Macaca mulatta: one gene and its partners. The protein of the gene in region 2 interacts with the protein of the main gene of each other region in a biochemical or structural test. Links are inferred from orthologs where the notes say so. Each region holds a gene or a part of one and is shown on either strand. Other genes may lie near its edges.

What was found. The genes of interacting proteins can lie anywhere in the genome.
Region 1: the proteins of TRIM28 (region 2) and MAGEC2 form a complex in vitro, tested with the Homo sapiens proteins (3 studies listed by BioGRID and IntAct). The link is inferred for Macaca mulatta from reciprocal best matches to the Homo sapiens genes TRIM28 and MAGEC2.
Region 3: the proteins of TRIM28 (region 2) and FBP1 form a complex in vitro, tested with the Homo sapiens proteins (2 studies listed by BioGRID). The link is inferred for Macaca mulatta from reciprocal best matches to the Homo sapiens genes TRIM28 and FBP1.
Region 4: the proteins of TRIM28 (region 2) and IRF1 form a complex in vitro, tested with the Homo sapiens proteins (2 studies listed by BioGRID). The link is inferred for Macaca mulatta from reciprocal best matches to the Homo sapiens genes TRIM28 and IRF1.

Annotation. Positions count from the first base shown.
Region 1 is NC_133426.1:148,497,609-148,501,721, forward strand, and holds the start of MAGEC2 (melanoma-associated antigen C2), read right to left. Parts: upstream 2,802-4,113; 5' UTR 2,688-2,801; exon of another isoform or gene 2,605-2,687; intron 1,953-2,604; 5' UTR 1,859-1,952; intron 1,551-1,858; 5' UTR 1,485-1,550; coding exon 363-1,484; 3' UTR 1-362. UniProt on the Homo sapiens protein: Proposed to enhance ubiquitin ligase activity of RING-type zinc finger-containing E3 ubiquitin-protein ligases.
Region 2 is NC_133424.1:70,682,142-70,686,171, reverse strand, and holds the start of TRIM28 (transcription intermediary factor 1-beta), read right to left. Parts: upstream 2,803-4,030; 5' UTR 2,505-2,802; coding exon 2,165-2,504; intron 1,836-2,164; coding exon 1,723-1,835; intron 1,497-1,722; coding exon 1,364-1,496; intron 1-1,363. UniProt on the Homo sapiens protein: Nuclear corepressor for KRAB domain-containing zinc finger proteins (KRAB-ZFPs).
Region 3 is NC_133420.1:128,832,759-128,836,968, forward strand, and holds the start of FBP1 (fructose-1,6-bisphosphatase 1), read left to right. Parts: upstream 1-1,409; coding exon 1,410-1,579; intron 1,580-4,210. Other genes in the region: uncharacterized protein LOC144334803, read right to left, coding at 992-1,147, 1,214-1,411. UniProt on the Homo sapiens protein: Catalyzes the hydrolysis of fructose 1,6-bisphosphate to fructose 6-phosphate in the presence of divalent cations, acting as a rate-limiting enzyme in gluconeogenesis. Plays a role in regulating glucose sensing and insulin secretion of pancreatic beta-cells.
Region 4 is NC_133411.1:141,396,337-141,400,386, reverse strand, and holds the start of IRF1 (interferon regulatory factor 1), read left to right. Parts: upstream 1-1,249; 5' UTR 1,250-1,292; intron 1,293-2,326; 5' UTR 2,327-2,331; coding exon 2,332-2,418; intron 2,419-3,782; coding exon 3,783-3,882; intron 3,883-4,050. UniProt on the Homo sapiens protein: Transcriptional regulator which displays a remarkable functional diversity in the regulation of cellular responses.

The sequences.
Region 1 (4,113 bases), on a different chromosome or scaffold from region 2:
AAAAACAAACAAACAAACAAACAAAAAGCCTATTACAATACCACACTACCCTGTTACTGATCACAAAATAAGGGAGAAGGTATTTCCATTTTTTTTAAACAAAATATCAAACTGTTACTCTTAAACCAGATAAACAGCAATACATGTGTGACCAATATTCATAAATTAATGCTCTGAAGCTAACTACCTGCTATTCAAAGGAAAAGCATTCAAAAAGTACTGAAAAACAGGTAAATCTCCACATCGCCCATATGGGACAGAAATGCAAAGAACATTATGTTCCTCGAGCCCCACCTGGCCCTCCACTACCTAGAACCTAAACTGCCTTGTTCAAACACAGAGCGCAGAAACTATTCTAGACTTCACTCAGAAAAGGGGAGGTTGCTGGACATGACACTGAGGCTTTCAGTGGCCATGACAGTGGCATCATCTGTGGTATCAGTCATGGCCTGGGCTCTCTCTTCCACATCTTTCAAAGCATCCTTGTACCAGGATGGAAAGGAACTAGGGACAGTGTTGTTCAGCTTGGCTAAAAACTCGAGTACTTTACTCTTGATGCTTTCTGAATGGGCTCTCGGACCCCACAGGAATTCATAATATGGAGGAGAACTGTTTGGCACCTCCCGACACTCCAGGTATTGCCCCTGCACCCAAACTTTAGTGAGGAGCTCCCTGGGCTCCCCATAGATGAAGTGCTCCCTCCCAGCATACACCCCTATTGCATTCAGCACTTCCCAGATGACCTCCTCAGAGGCAAAGCTGCCCTTTATGAAGATCACACTCAGAATAATAATCAGGAGGCTGTTCTCCGGCATGCCCTCGTCATCACTACCCTCATCAGTGAGGTCTACTGTGTTTGCAAACACAGAAAAGTGGTCAGGGCCCACTTCTATCAGAGCAAGGCCAAAAAGGAGCTCCATGAACTCACGGGCTCTCTTGAGTATCACAGGAAAGTAGTCTTTGTACTTGATGACAATCATCAGCATCTCTGCCTCTGTTACAGGCTCCTCTGCTTTGTACCTGAGGAGCAGGAACGCCACTAACTCGGCCACCTTTTCATCTAGTGTATGTGTGAAAGAGGACTCACTGTCTGGCAGGCCCTGACAGGTACTTGTATCCTCCTCTTTTTGGCTGCTGGACTCTTCACTGAATGAGCTCCATGAAAAAGAGGAGCAACAGGAGCTCAGAGGACTCTGGGAAGGACCCTGTGGAGGACTCTGTGGAGGACTACTGGGAGTGCTCTCGGGAAGACTTGGTATCACATCAGACGGCACCTCCTCCTCAGGACCACCAAGAATCAGAGAAGAGGATGAGGAGAAGGAAGAGGGGGAAAATACTAAGTAGAAAGTGGAAGAGGAAATGGAGGAGGCTTCCTCCTCTTCCTCATCTGTGGGATCCTGTGCATCTACCCAGTCCTCTGACTCAACTGAGGCCGGAGAGTCGTCGTCAACGTTGTGGAATGGAACGCCCGGAATGGGAGGCATAACGACTTCTTCAGGCGCAGCAGGTAAAGGTATCAACAGGGATATGGATGATGAGATCCAACAGGCCTGTGGAAGAGAGTGACAGTGTGAATGGCCTCAGCTGAGAAACTCACCCATGATGGCTCTGACAAAGGCCAACTTAGAGCTCTTCTTCTCTTAAGGTGGTGCTCTAGGGCCTCACAGGTCTCCTGTCTTCCTAGGGAGTTTGTCTGCTGGCAACCTGTAGGAGGATGTGGGAACACACCTCAGGGCACAGCTGGCAGGCAGAGCCTGAGACCCCAGGAATAACAGTAGGTGGGTACCGCCGGGTGCTGTGGGGTCTCCTCTGTTTCTGGGGGTAGGGCCCTTGGTACACAGTCAGGGTGTGCACTCACCTTGACTCCTGGCACTGCCTGGGTCTCCTCTGCTGTGCTGACTTTAGGATGTGTGCCTCACACCCAGTTTGTCACCACCTGGTTCCTGGAGCACCTGCAAGAGGAAGTGACGGAGCCCCTCAGGTTAAAGACTACAAGTAGAGTCTTGGGCCTCCCAGGGCTGACAGCTGGGGCTGGCCAGAATCCCAGAGCCCCATAGTTCTGGACTGCATGGCCCCCTCAGAATTTAATTGGAAACCTCACGGCTTCTCAGAGAGGGTCAAGCCCCCACCACTCTGCTGGCCTAAGGCAAAACCTCCTAGCAACCTCCACATCCCTGAGAGCAGTGGGAGGTAGTGCAGTGGCAGCCACCTCCCAGGACTCTACCATGGAGGTGGTCTGGGTGGCCTCACGTCCGTTCTGATGCACATGTGACTCCTGTCTTCTGTCTTATCGCCAGCAGGGCCTGGGAATCTTCCCTCTGCCAACCAGAGGCAGCTCCCCGTGCTGACTTGCCACGGGACCCCCAGAACAAGGCCTCTGCCTCCCCTCCATCCCTCACCCAGAAATGAGATGGCTGCCACTCAGCCTGAGCTGGCAGGGGAGTTCTACGAGGGCTGATTCTCGAGGAGCAGGGTGGGAATCTGTGGGAATCTGTCCTCTGAGATGGGGGTTCCCCCAGTCCTCCTCAATGTCTTCCTATTTATTCCCTAGAGGGCTGGCACCTCCTCCCTTCTTCTGTGGGCATTTTCCTGTCTGGGACCTACCAGTCCCACTGCAGCGGCAGTGCAGGCCGGGATTTCATCTCTCTATGGTGGGAGGTCCCTCAGTTCTTCCTCAGGGCCCTCACCTTGTGGACTGGCCAGGTCTAAGACTCCCCGCCGCTGACTTGATTCGAATCTCCTTGCAAAATGCCTCCGATCCTTTGGATTCCCAAGATGGCCGTCTGGAAAGCACATCCGGGAACCCGGCCGTAGTGGTCCAGGGCTGACGGCAGCGTCAACGTGGGGCGGGGCCTCCTCTCTGGGGAGGAACCACTCCCCACCTCTCCGCTTCTTTTCCATCCCTTCCTTCCCACATCCCAGCTGCCCTCCAACCCTTCCTGCTCACTCCCTAAACCTTGTGGACCTTTTCACTCCCACCTCCCCAGTCCTTGACATCCCACCCTCCTTTTTCCAGGGGTGTCAGCAGGGAGCGACTTGGTGCAGCCTGCACCTCCCCTCCGTGTTGGGAGGTCACCGTCCTTCCACATCTCTTCTTGTTTTCTGGCCAGTTCTGGGACTTCTCTCTCTGCTTAACTGAAGCTGCCCTCCTCAGAGACAGCCTCCCCTTCTGCTGACTCCCAAAATAGAAGTAAGAAAATTGTACATCTGGGGACCCTGATGGGGTCCTCCAGAGTTGGCAGCAGGCACAGGGACAGGACAGAGGGCACTACCGGTCATGGGTGTTCCCTTCTTGCCCTCCTGAGAGGCTGTGCCTGGACTCCTGAAATGGCCTGGACTCCCTGTCTCTGTGCATCTGAGTCTTTCACCTGCGAATAAGCCCCTCCCATCCCTGAGACCTGCAAGGTGGAAGAGAAGTAGAATCACATCCACCCACAGTGGGATAGGGCCTCCTGGCCCTAAGGCAGGCCTCCACTGCCCTCTGAAATGGGGTGGGAAGGCCCCTATGGCTTTCTCAAGGTATTACTTCTAAAAGAGCCTATACTCCTTCCTTCTCCTGTCCAGACAGCAACATTTGTTCCTTCAACTTCTAAATTCCATTCCAAGTTTTTCTACTTTACTGCTGTGAGTGAAGTTAATATCATCTCTCCCATAGCCTGTGTGTTACAAGGCTTCCTTATTGTTGCTTCTTTTCCTATTCTAGTCCCTGAACAAAAATCACTGTCTTTTCAGCAACCCGTGACCCTTTAAAAAAACAATACGTGATTAAAGTTTTAAATACACACATCAGATTTAACTAGAATGTGAAGTTATATGTATTTTGGAAAATGCATGGAGTCCCATATCTGCAAATCAAGTATCATACTGACCGGTTCCACCTGCCTAAAATTCTCCTGTGCATCCCGGTTGATGTCAATCACTGCACTCTACAAAGCTCCTAGCAACTCTCTTCTGTTTTCAGTTCCTATAATTTTAACTTTTCTAATTTGTCATATGATTAGCTTCATAAAATACTGACTTAAAAGTATGCCTGTACTATTTTTTTATCACAACTAGCAAGGAATGAGAAATTCTGTTATTCTATATCTTCTCTTACATTTAGTATTTTAGATT
Region 2 (4,030 bases):
TCATTTCCTGCCCATTCTGTGACACTGGGCCATTTATTGGGAAGATGTAGAGGGTGTGGCCAGCGAAGAACACAGGCCTGCAAGCCCAATTCCTTGCTCCCAGAAACCTCTGCCCCAACATAGCTGAGAAACACAACCCTTTCTTCTAGCTTCTAGAGGTGACACAAAGGTAAAGGTAAGGACAGCCTCCGGAAAAAGAGGACTACCCCCCCACACACACTGTTCCCTTTATTCTCCAAGTGGACATATTCAGAATTCTGCCTACAAACCACCCTGGACTCCTTTTCTTCTCCTTTCATGGTTAACTTCCTCCCTCTTTCGTGACAAGAAAACACCAGGGTCTCTTACAACCCAAGAGCCCAGAGAAAACCTGTAGAGGTTCTCATACTGGGAGAGATAAAATGTCAAACTAGGACCCTCAGAATGGTGGTCACACCCCCTCTAGACCAGGAGCTTGGTGCTCAGCATAATTCCACCCCAAGACCAACACATTAATAACCTTCAAAGCCTGCTTCCCCATTAGAAAACCGATTAAGCATAGTGGTCCAACATACCAACCAAATCCAAAATACGTAGCATCAGGGCTCACTGGGGAAACTGACTTCCCCAGTGCCACCATTCCTGCACCCTGACCTTTGCTTGGGACGTCTGGAATGTAGGACACCCTGCAGCCCCTGCCTATCCCTCCTGGCTCCTCAGGCCCCACAGCCGCCACTTTCCCACTATCTTCCACCAATGCTGGCCTCTGGGATGGGAAGAATCACGGTATGGCTACCAAAAGGCCACTCATGGGAGGATTTTGGCCCAAAAACTGGGCTACACTCAAAAGACTCTCAAGCTCCTTTCCAAATCAAAGCTAGCGAGTGTCTGCGAAAAGCTGGAAATGCCAAACCAAACTCCGGGTAAGTCTCTGCCAACTCAAAAGCTAAAACGTTTCCAGAAATCACCATCACTTATAACCCATGGACCCACAAAGTCTCATTTTCCCTAACAGCATCTTATACCAGATGTGTGCCAGGGAACCACAAACCCAGTAAGCCCTTCACACCATGCCTTTCCCTGTTTGCATATTCTGAGCCCTTCAACACCAGGACTGAGAACTCCCTGATAAGCTTCCTCAAACCCTCTGTACCTCCCTGCAGCACATTAAGGTCTCCACGTCTCCCCTTCCCACCCCCTCCCACCTAAGCCCTAGAGACTACACACCACAACCACAATTTTCCTGCTTTTGGAGTTCTGCTCTCCAGCCCTTCGGGCGGCACCCCCTGGACAACTCTAGGACCCATCCACCAAATGCAACCAACATTATAAAAGCAACTGAGGGCACACACGGGAAAGCAACAGCCCCCTCAGCCTCACGTACCAGTAGAGCGCACAGTGTGATCCTTGGTGTACTTCACCCGCTGGTGCGCCTCTACACAGGTCTCACACAGAGGCTCCGAGCACTCCACACAGTAGCTGGTAGCTGGGGCATTATCCTCACAGCTAGTGCAGCACTGCCAGACAAAGGCAGGGTCAGAGAAAGCAAGACAACTTGCTAGATCCACATCTACACCTCAGAAAATACAACCCAAGATTAAGATTGGTCCCTTGACCCAGCCTAGACAGCCCACCCAGAGCCTTGGGAAAGTCGAGTAACAGCCTGGGAGCTGGTGTCAAGCTCCTCCTGGGCAGATGCCCCCTCCCCAGAAACCTCCCTGTGGTTGCTGCGGTTGGACGCACCTGGTTAGCATCCTGGGCGTCGGTGGCAGCCTTGCTGCCACTATCACGCATGAAATAATTCTCCACGATGTCTTTGGAGAAGCACTGTTGCTTGCACACGGGACAGTCCACCACTTCAAGAGGCAGGGATGTGGGAGACTGTTACAAGTTCCCACCCAAGTTATGGCCCCCCGCATCCCCGTGCTGGGTGGGCCCCCGACCATTACCCCGCAGCGAGGCAGCCCCTCCCCTCCCCTCCCTGAGCCCTTTCTCCAACTTTAGTCAGATGTCTCATCTCAGCGGCCAGCTCAAACCCACGTTCCTATGCAGGACCCAGAAAGTACTCCCCGTGCACTGTCCGGGCCCCCATCCTCTTGCCCAGGTGGCATCCTCATCTCTGCACCCAGTGGGAATCAAAGGCAGAGAGTAGGGGGAGGGGTGGCCCCGATCACTTCGTACTTACCGGCGCCGTCGCCCGCAGCCCCGCCGTCCCCGGAGCTGTTGGCGGCGGCGGGCGCCGCGGGCCCTAGGCAGGCACTACAGGCCGAGTGCAAACAGGGCAGCAGGCGGGGCTCCCTCTCGGGTCGCAGGCGCTCTCTGCACACGCCGCAGTGCTCCAGCAGCTCCAGCGCCTCGGCGCCGCCCCCCGCGGGCGACGACACCGAGGCCGAGGCCGAGGCCGAGGCCGCGGTCGAAGAAGCGGTGGAGCGCTTTTCGCCGCCAGCGGAGCTCTCGCCCGGGCCCGGGCTGCCAGAGGCGGCCGAGGCCGCTGCTGCCGAGGCTGCCGCCGCCGAGGCCGCCATTCACACGCCGCCGGGGGCGCCCAGGGGGGAGGAGGGGCGCGGGGCCCGCCGCGCAGGCGCAGACGCGCTCGCCGCCAACTGCTGGGCCGCCGCCGCCGCCGCCGCGAGGCCGAGCACCGCCACGCGCCTCCTGGGCCGCTGCCCGCCGCGCGCGGGACGCTGCTGCGGCACCGCCAACTGCTGCCTGCTCGCCTCCCGAAGGCGCCGCCCGCGCTTCTTCCTCAGCCGCCGCCGAAACCCTCACCACGCGCCACAAGCACAAGCACAACCGCTCGCCCGCGCGCCCGCTCGCAGAAAGAGCCGAGGCCGGGGGGCGGGACAGAAATAACTGGCGCCGACGCCGCCGCGCACGCGCATTGGGCGCCGCACGCCCGGGGGCGGGGCCCAGGCCGGTCGGGGCGGGAGAGGCTGCCAGTACGCACGCGCCCACTCCGGGTCCTTCCACCACGGCCAACCCCACGTCGGTGGGGTCTTGTGGGGGCGGGGCGGTCCCTCTGTGACGTCACTGCCGCAATTTAATCCGCCAGTGGGGTGTGCGCACCTTTATAGAGTGTGATTCCCCTCTCAGCTCCACCTCCAGACCACACCGAAGCGGGCCGCTGTGCGCCCAAGCGCATGGGCAGTCCGTAACTCTTCCTCAACCCGCGTCTTTTCGCTCGCGTAGAGTCGTCTCCAGCCTTTGCGTCACTAAGCGTTCGGGATAGGGGGCAGGGCCAATGGAGAAGTAGGCGGGGCCAAGACGGAGTAAAGGGCTGTGCCCCGGGAGAGGGGAGGACAGGCTCCATCCCAGGAGGGAGGAAGCGCCTGTGTGAGAGCAGGGGCTGACTTTTGAATTTTAACCACGTTATAGTTAAACTTGAGAAACACAGAAAGTTGCCTAAATCAAATGTAGATCACAGACGGGCGCCGTGGCTCATACCTGTAATCCCACCATTTTCTTAGGCGAATCGGGAGGCTCCGTTTAGCCCAGGAGGCCGGGGCAGCAGTGAGCCGGGATTGTGCCACTGCACGCCAGCCTAGACAACAGATCGAAAAAAATGTGGCCGGGCGCGGCGGCTCACGCCTTTAATCCCAGCACTTTGGGAGGTCGAGGCGGGTCGATCACCTGAGGTCGGGAGTTCGAGACCAGCCTGGGCAACGTGGTGAAACCCCGTCTCTACTAAAAATACAAAAATTAGCCGGGCGTGGTGGCGGGCGCCTGTACTCCCAGCTACTCGGGAGGCTGAGGCAGGAGAATCGCTTGAACCCGGAAGGCGAAGGTTGTAGTGAGCCGAGATCATGCCATTGCACTACAGCCTGGGAGAAAAGAGCGAAACTCCATCTCAAAAGAAGAAATCTTTTTGTGTTTGTTTTGAGACGGAGTTTTGCTCTGTTGCCCAGGCTGGAGTGCAGTGGCGCGATCTCGGCTCACTGCAACCTCTGCCTCCCGGGTTCAAGCAATTATCCTGCCTCAGCCTCCTGAGTAGCTGGGATTACAGACATCCGCCTCCACACGCCCGACTATTTTTTGTATTTTTAGTAGAGAC
Region 3 (4,210 bases), on a different chromosome or scaffold from region 2:
ACAGGGGGGCAGCACGGGCAGGTGGACAGGGGGGCAGCACAGGCAGGTGGACAGGGGGGCCAGTGACAGGACGGGCAGGTGGACAGGGGGGCCAGTGACAGCACAGGCAGGTGGACAGGGGGCCAGTGACAGCACAGGCAGGTGGACAGGGGGGCAGTGACAGGACGGGCAGGTGGACGGGGGGGCAGTGACAGGACGGGCAGGTGGACAGGGGGGCCAGTGACAGGACGGGCAGGTGGACAGGGGGGCCAGTGACAGGACGGGCAGGTGGACAGGGGGGCCAGTGACAGCACAGGCAGGTGGACAGGGGGCCAGTGACAGCACAGGCAGGTGGACAGGGGGGCAGTGACAGGACGGGCAGGTGGACAGGAGGGCAGTGACAGGACGGGCAGGTGGACGGGGGCCAGTGACAGGACGGGCAGGTGGACAGGGGGGCAGTGACAGGACGGGCAGGTGGATGGGGGGGCAGTGACAGCACAGGCAGGTGGACAGGGGGGCAGTGACAGGACGGGCAGGTGGACAGGGGGCCAGTGACAGGACGGGCAGGTGGACAGGGGGGCAGTGACAGGACGGGCAGGTGGACAGGGGGGCAGTGACAGGACGGGCAGGTGGACAGGCCTGGGCAGGGGCCGGGCAGGAGGCCGCGCGGGCGGGTCTGCGGAGCGGGGGCTGCTGGGGGTTTCGCTGCCCAACTGGGGCGCTGAGCAAGTTACTCAACCTCTGTGAACTTCCGCGTCATGATTGTGGAGGAAACTCCGGCAAAGAAACAGCTTTTCTCTCCGGCGGGTCCGACGGCCCGAGCCCCGCCCCGCAGCGCAGATGGAGGGCGCGGAGGCTGCGGGGGCGGCGCGGGGAGGGTCCGAAGATCCGGCGGGCGGAGCCGCGGGCTGGGCGGCGGGAGGCGGCGCGGGGTGTTCCCGGGGGTGGGGGCGGGGCCGACCCGCGGCTAAAGGTTCCCGGTTCACCCGCCCGCGCCGGGCCTGGCCCAGTCTCACCGCGAGCGCCGCGGACACTCGGGGCCGCAGTCGGTCTGTCCGTCCTCCCGCCAGGTCCCGCCCCGCACCTGCCCCCGCACCTGCCCCCACACCTGCCCCCGCACCTGCCGCCGCACCTGCCCCCGCACCTGCCCCCGCACCTGCCGCCGCACCTGCCCCCGCACCTGCCGCCCCGCACCTGCCGCCCCGCACCTGCCGCCGCACCTGCCGCCCCGCACCTGCCCCCGCACCTGCCCCCGCACCTGCCCCCGCACCTGCCGCCGCACCTGCCCCCGCACCTGCCCCCGCACCTGCCGCCGCACCTGCCCCCGCACCTGCCCCCGCACCTGCCCCCGCACCTGCCCCCGCACCTGCCGCCCCGCACCTGCCCCCGCACCTGCCGCCGCACCTGCCGCCCCGCGGCCCGGCCCCAGCATGGCTGACCAGGCGCCCTTCGACACGGACGTCAACACCCTGACCCGCTTCGTCATGGAGGAGGGCAGGAAGGCCCGCGGCACGGGTGAGCTGACCCAGCTGCTCAACTCGCTCTGCACGGCCGTCAAAGCCATCTCCTCCGCGGTGCGCAAGGCCGGCATCGCGCACCTGTGAGTCGCCTCGGGCGGGGCCCGTCTGTCTGTCTGTCTGTCTGTCCGTCCGCCCGGGGAGCCTGTCCGGCGCTGGGCCCTCTGGTCCTCCTGCGTCAGCCTCTGTCTGTCCGTCTGATGTCCGGGCGCCTCTCTCGCTCTGCGTCTGGTGGCCCCTCTCTGCGGAAGCTGGCTCAGCCTCACTCAAGTTCTCACCCCCTCCCTTGACCTTGGAGGGGCCACCTGGGGGTCCGTCTCGCAGGTGCACGCCGGATTCCATCCTCGTGCCCCTCTCAGCCGGCACCTGGCCTGCCCGTCATACCCGCCCTGGCCTCAGACAGGAAGTGCTGGCTCAGGTGCCTTCCGTCCCCATCTCTTCTTTCTCTCTTTCTGTGATGAGGCGCCCAAGTCAGGTTTCTAGTCCAGTATCTCTGACCCGAAACGAGGCTTGTTAGGAGCGAGTGTCCCCCTCCCAAGCAGGCTGGAGGTCTCCTGTGTGTCCAGAGCCTTTAGGAGCAGCAGCCTGGTGTGCAAAGGAGCTCCCGTGGGCTGCCCCTTGCTGGGACCGTTGCCATGCTGTGCCAGAAAGAGGAAACACCCAGGGCTTCAAAACCCTTATCCATTTGCAATGACGGTGTGTGCAGCCCCCACCCAATTAGTGGAAAGCTCAAAAGTTGTTTGTAGAATGGTTTCGAATGCTCTGTGGGGTGCATCTCGAACGTCACTGGGCACCGGAATCATTGGGGATCTTGGTAAGACGTGTGCCCTCTTTCCGTCGCTCTGGGACGGGTCCTGAGATTCGGCATTTCTGAGAAGTCCTCCTGTGGTGGATGCTGCCGGTCAGATACTGTGTGTCTGCTGATCTCATTGTGAGTAGCAAGGGGTCAAGGCGAGGGGAGACTCAAAGGACCCCTTCTTGTGAGGTTTTTGTAAGTCACACAACATCCTTTCGTTTGTGTTGGTGTGCACAGGTATTTTCTTTTTCTTTCCTTTCTTTCTTTTCTTTTCTTTTCTTTCTTTCTTTCTTTTTTTTTTTTTTTTGAGACGGAATTTTGCTCTTGTTGCCCAGGCTGGAGTGCAATGGTGCGATCTTGGCTCACCGGAACCACTGCCTCCCGGGTTCAAGCGATTCTCCTGCCTCAGTCTCCCAAGTAGCTGGGATTACAGGCATGTGCCACCACGCCCAGCTAATTTTGTAATTTTTTTTAGTAGAGACGGGGTTTCTCCATGTTGGTCAGGCTGGTCTCGAACTCCCGACCTCAGGTGATCCGCCTGCCTCGGCCTCCCAAAGTGCTGGGATTACAGGCATGAGGCACCGTGCCCAGTCGTGCACAGGTGTTTTCTAGCTAACTGATCCACACTTTTAACTAAAGGGTAACTGGGTTTTCAGATTGTCCATACACCTTCCTAACATTTCCTGCACTTACGTACGCTATAAAAATGACACATGATGGACCGGGCGCGGTGGCTCACGTCTGTAATCCCAGCACTTTGGGAGGCCAAGGCGGGTGGATTGCCTGAGGTCAGGAGTTCAAGACCAGCCTGACCAACATGGTGAAACCCCGTCTCTATTAAAAATACAAAAATTAGCTGGGTGTGGTGGTGTGCGCCTATAATCCCAGCTACTCGGGAGGCTGAGGAAGGAGAATTGCTTGAACCCTGGAGGCAGAGGTTGCAGTGAGCCAAGATCGCACTATTGCACACCAGCCTGGACGACAAGAGTGAGACTTCATCTCAAAACAAAAGACACATGATGCTCAGAGCTGACCTGAACAAATATAATCCCACTACTTTGGTTTGGAATGCATGTCTCCATTTTTAAAATCTCTTCTCCGCCCCCCATCCTGCAATCTAGATTCCTCTTCTTACTGGGAGGCTGTCTGGCGTTGGTCCCACAGTATGGATTGGCGGAGATCATTCATGTAAAGGAGTTGTATGATCACATTTATTTTTGAATATTAAGCAGACATGTTAAGGAAGGCGATGACTCCATTGCTGTTGCCTCTGGCCCCTCTTAATAATACATTCCTAAGGATTCTTACTTTAGAAACACACCCAGGTGAAATCTTATTCAAGCTTTAATTTACAGCTATTATAGGTGGCTCACAGCTTTAACTGCCTTTGAGGACCAGGGATATATTTTAAAAAGAGGGCTGTCGACTGGGTGCTCACACCTGTAATCCCAGCACTTTGGGAGGCCGAGGCAGGTGGATCACCTGAGGTCAGGAGATGGAGCCCAGCCTGGTCAACAAGGTGAAACCCCGTCTCTACTAAAAATACAAAAATTAGCCAGGCATGGTGGCGGGTGCCTGTAATCCCATCTACTTGGGAGGCTGAGGCAGGAGAATTGCTTGAACCCGGGAGGCGGAGGTTGCAGTGAGCCGAGATTGTGCCACTCTACTCCAACCTTGCGACAGAGTGAGACTCTGTCTCAAAAAAGTAAGTCTCAGAAAAGAAAAAAAAAAGGGCTTCTCATGTCTGATAGCTTAAAAAATGGTCAGTACCTGTCACACTCCTAGAGAGACTTAGAAATGTAAGATGTGTTTTGAAGTGTCCCACTTCCTAAGTAACCTTAGATAGTGGGACCTCAGATAGTGAGATTTTGATAGTAGGGCCTGGATGAAGCATGCTAATTTTGGCTACAGAAGATAT
Region 4 (4,050 bases), on a different chromosome or scaffold from region 2:
CAGCAATACTTCCATTGAGGAACTCCCATACGCGGGCCACAGGGAGGCTCTGGAGGCGGCCTGTGTATTAGGAGGGATCAGAACTACCCCACCCCCACCCTCACTCAGCCATCTGGGCTTCTCTGAACCCCTTCTCCTCCTCTGTTCCCTAAGGCCAGCCAGGGGGAGTCCCAGGGAGGCAGACCAAAAAGGGGTGGGGTGTCATCCTGGTCACTATTAGACCCTGGAACGGCGACCTTGAAAACTACTCAGCGTCTGTTGCCCGAGTGGAGCATAGTGCTTTACAATCACAGCAAACCATCAAGGTAGGGCTACTGTTATTTTATGGTTGAAAAACGGAGGTCCTGAGTCCCTTGGGGGCTGTGCCAGCAGCGGCCAAGTTGAGATTTCCCCTGGTTCAGCAGCCCCAGACAGCACACGGTGCAGGGTAGGCTTTCTGCTTCCTTCACTTCCCCAGGGCAGGTGAGTGACCTGGAGAAAGGGGGTCACCCCTAAAAACAGGGGTAGTGCTAGGACTGAAACTCTCCCTTCTTGATACCCCACTGGCAAGCTTGAGGAGCCAGGTTGCCAGTCGGGAGATTCGGCCGGTGTTCCCCCTGGAGAGGGCGGCAAGTGCCCGGGCGATCCCCTCACCTGCGTTCAGGAGATAGACCCCCGCCCCCAACCCGCCAGGAGGGTGAAAAGATGGCCCCAGGAGCCAGCCGGCTGGGAGAAGGCGGAGTGAGAGGAGAGGCTGGGGCCGGGGGTGCCGGGCTGTCCAGGGCAGCCCTCCTCCGGGCGAGCCGGAGCAGGGGTGGATGGGGAGCGCGCGGGGCGGGCCCGTGGTGGCCCCGGGGCGGTGGCGCCCGGCCGGAGAGGGTGGGGCGGAGCAGCCGCCCTGTACTTCCCCTTCGCCGCTAGCTCTACAACAGCCTGATTTCCCCGAAATGACGGCACGCAGTCGGCCAATGGGCGCCCGCGCGGCTGTCCGGAGGCGGGGCCGGCCAGGGCTGGGGAATCCCGCTAAGTGTTTGGATTGCTCGGTGGCGCCGCTGCCCTGGCAGAGCTCGCCACTCCTTCGTCGAGGCAGGACGTGCGCCCGAGCCCCGCCGAACCGAGGCCACCCGGAGCCTTGCCCAGCCCACGCCAGCCGTGCCCAGCGGCCTTGAGACCCAGACAGCCTCTGCCTTCTTCCCCCTTCCACCCGGAGTCGCGCTCCGCGCCCCCTCACGGCAGCCCCTGCGTCGCCGGGACCTTCGCGCGCCGCCGCCGGGACCTTCGCGCGCCGCCGCCGAATCGCTCCTGCAGCAAAGGTGAGTCCGCTTTTGCGGCGCGGGGGACCGGCGGCGTCGAATAAAAGGCGCGCGGGGCACCAGGAAGTGGGGGTTCGAAAACCCCAGGTTGGAGACTCGCGGGAGCGCGGCGTTGCCCGGGCCCCCGCGCGGGCTCCGGGGGGCGCCGGAGGAGCTGCGAGCCGCGGCGCGGGGAGGGCGGGCCGCGGCGTGGACCGCCCACCCGGACGAGGCTGCCGGCGCCGGGCAGCTTTCGCAGATATGCGTGCGCGCAGCCGCTGGGGGCCTGTAGGTGGCCCGCTACGTTCGTCCCGCGCATCCACACGCCGTGCCGGGGACCGAGTGTCCGCCCACGCGTGGGCGCCCAGTGCTCCCGGCTTTCGGCGGTCCCAGCTTCGCGCCCAGGCCCCAGGTTTTGGGCTCCCTGTGCTGGTGACAAGGGCTGGCTTACTGCCCAGGTGGCTGGAGGGAATCGTGACCTACGGAGACTGCGGGAAGAGGCGCCACAGGTGTTCCTTGGGCCGCTTCTCCAGAGGAGGGGAAACCGGGCCGGAAGGGTTAGCGTCCTAGTCTTAGCGTAGTGGGCTCTGTGACTGTCAGGAGGGCGTAGAATGGATTCAGGGGGGCTGTTCAGGGTGATGGCTAGCCCTTTACTAGCTAGTGGTGACAACTCAAGTCAAGGGAATTTCTTCTTGGCATCAAGCAAAAGAAGTCCCTCCCTTCCCAAAGGATTTGAATTTTGAGCGAAAAGTTCTGAAATTAGGATATCTGTGCATTTTCTCTCTTTTCCTGCACATGAATCCTAAAGCCATCACTTGCATGCCTGTCTCATCCAGAGACTGGCTGGGATGGAGGAAGGGGCAGAAGCATTTTTGCCTAAGATGCTGAAAAAACTTGGAGAGCAGTTTTATTCCAGGGCAGCTCCCCTCCCCACTGAGTGTAGTACCTAGTAGCTGGCTGAGGGGAGGGTAACTAAGTGAACTCGGGTGGGGCAGGTCAGTGCCCAGGTACTGTTCAACAGATTCCAGACTGGAGCCTCTGTCTTCTCTTTACAGCCAACATGCCCATCACTCGGATGCGCATGAGACCCTGGCTAGAGATGCAGATTAATTCCAACCAAATCCCGGGGCTCATCTGGATTAATAAAGTGAGTGTAACTCTTTGGGTTTTCCTGCCACTGTTTTAACCCATGTACTTCTGGAGGGACCAAAGCTTCAGATGCAGCTCAAAAAGGGAAGTGATAACAGGACAGGCAGATGTTTCTCCCAATGGGTCCTGCATGCAGGGAGGGAGTGTGCAAGGCCCAGCCTGGGCCTCACTTGCACGACTCCTGCTTTCTTCCCTTCTTGAGGTAGGGCACCCACCTGAAGGCACTTCCAGTTTCCAGCAGCAAGACTTTCCCAGCATCTGCAGAGCTGGAGTTCTGGTCTCCTCTGAGGGAGACCCTTACAAACATACACAGCACCTTGCAGGGCTCTAATCAAACAAATAGAAGACTTGAGAAGTGGATGCTGCTGGGCAGAAAGGTGGCTGGCTTAGCAGAGGACAAACGAATCAATCTTGCACCAGTCACTGTGGCCCAAGAAGCCTATAGCTGGTGCACTTGGGGCAACATAGACACTATAGGCTTAGTAGCAATGATAGTATTCATAATAATAGCTAATGCTTACTGAACACTCTCTGTGTGCCTGGCACCTGCTACGTATGTTATTTACATTGTGTCATTTAATCCTCGCAGTAGTCCTGTGGGGTAGGTCCTGTTCATGTCATCATTTTCAGATAAGTAAACAGAGGCACTGAGAGGAAGATTGTAAGATCACACAAAAAGTGATGAAGCCAAGATTTGAACTTGAATGGTCTGACTCAGAAATCTTTACTGTTAACCATCAGTGATAATAACAGTAAGACCTTAGACTTCATATTTGTCACTGTGTCCCTACACATTCTCTGGTTTTTAATTCTCAAAATTTTGTTGGATATGTTTTCTCATTTCAGAGAAGAGAAAACTGAGGGGAAAAGAGATACAGTGACAATGCCAGGGTTACACAGTGTTCACCATCCAAGTCTAGCTCCCTCAGTCGTATGACCAGGACCTCTTGTGTAGAAGCCCATGGTCCCAGGTGTCCTGAGGAGTCCTTTCTAATGGAAGAAGTTCTTACTTCCATGTTGGTGTTTACAAGCCAGAGAGAAACATCCCAGAGCTTCAAAATCAGGGCTTTGGGGGAGGGTGCCCTGTGTGGGTCCTAGCACATGTGTAACAGGCAGAGGGAGGTCTTTGTGAGCTAATAGTGCTGCAGCTCATCCGAACTAGGAGTCCCTCCTGAGAGATCCCGAGTGGTCTGTTTAAGCCAGCCTAAAGATGGGTCAGTCCAAGCCAGATGGCAGGGGGAAAAGGGGAAGTCAGCCTTTTCTCAGACCTGTCTGGCTGGGCAAGCCTGGGTCTCAGACTCAGCCCCAAAGTCTGTGGCCTCTGAGCTGACACAGCCTCGTGTATATGTGTGTGTTGTTCAGGAGGAGATGATCTTCCAGATCCCATGGAAGCATGCTGCCAAGCATGGCTGGGACATCAACAAGGATGCCTGTTTGTTCCGGAGCTGGGCCATTCACACAGGTGTGTGCCTGGGACTCAGGCCTAGGAAGGCCAGGGTAGAGACAAGAGGAGGCACTAACGTTAACACAGAGGCTCTTCACTGGGGTCCCTGAGCTCCCTGAGACAATATGCAGAATTACTGGGAACAGGGGCTGGTGGCAGACTAGTGTTTCTGGAGAAGAGAGTCCA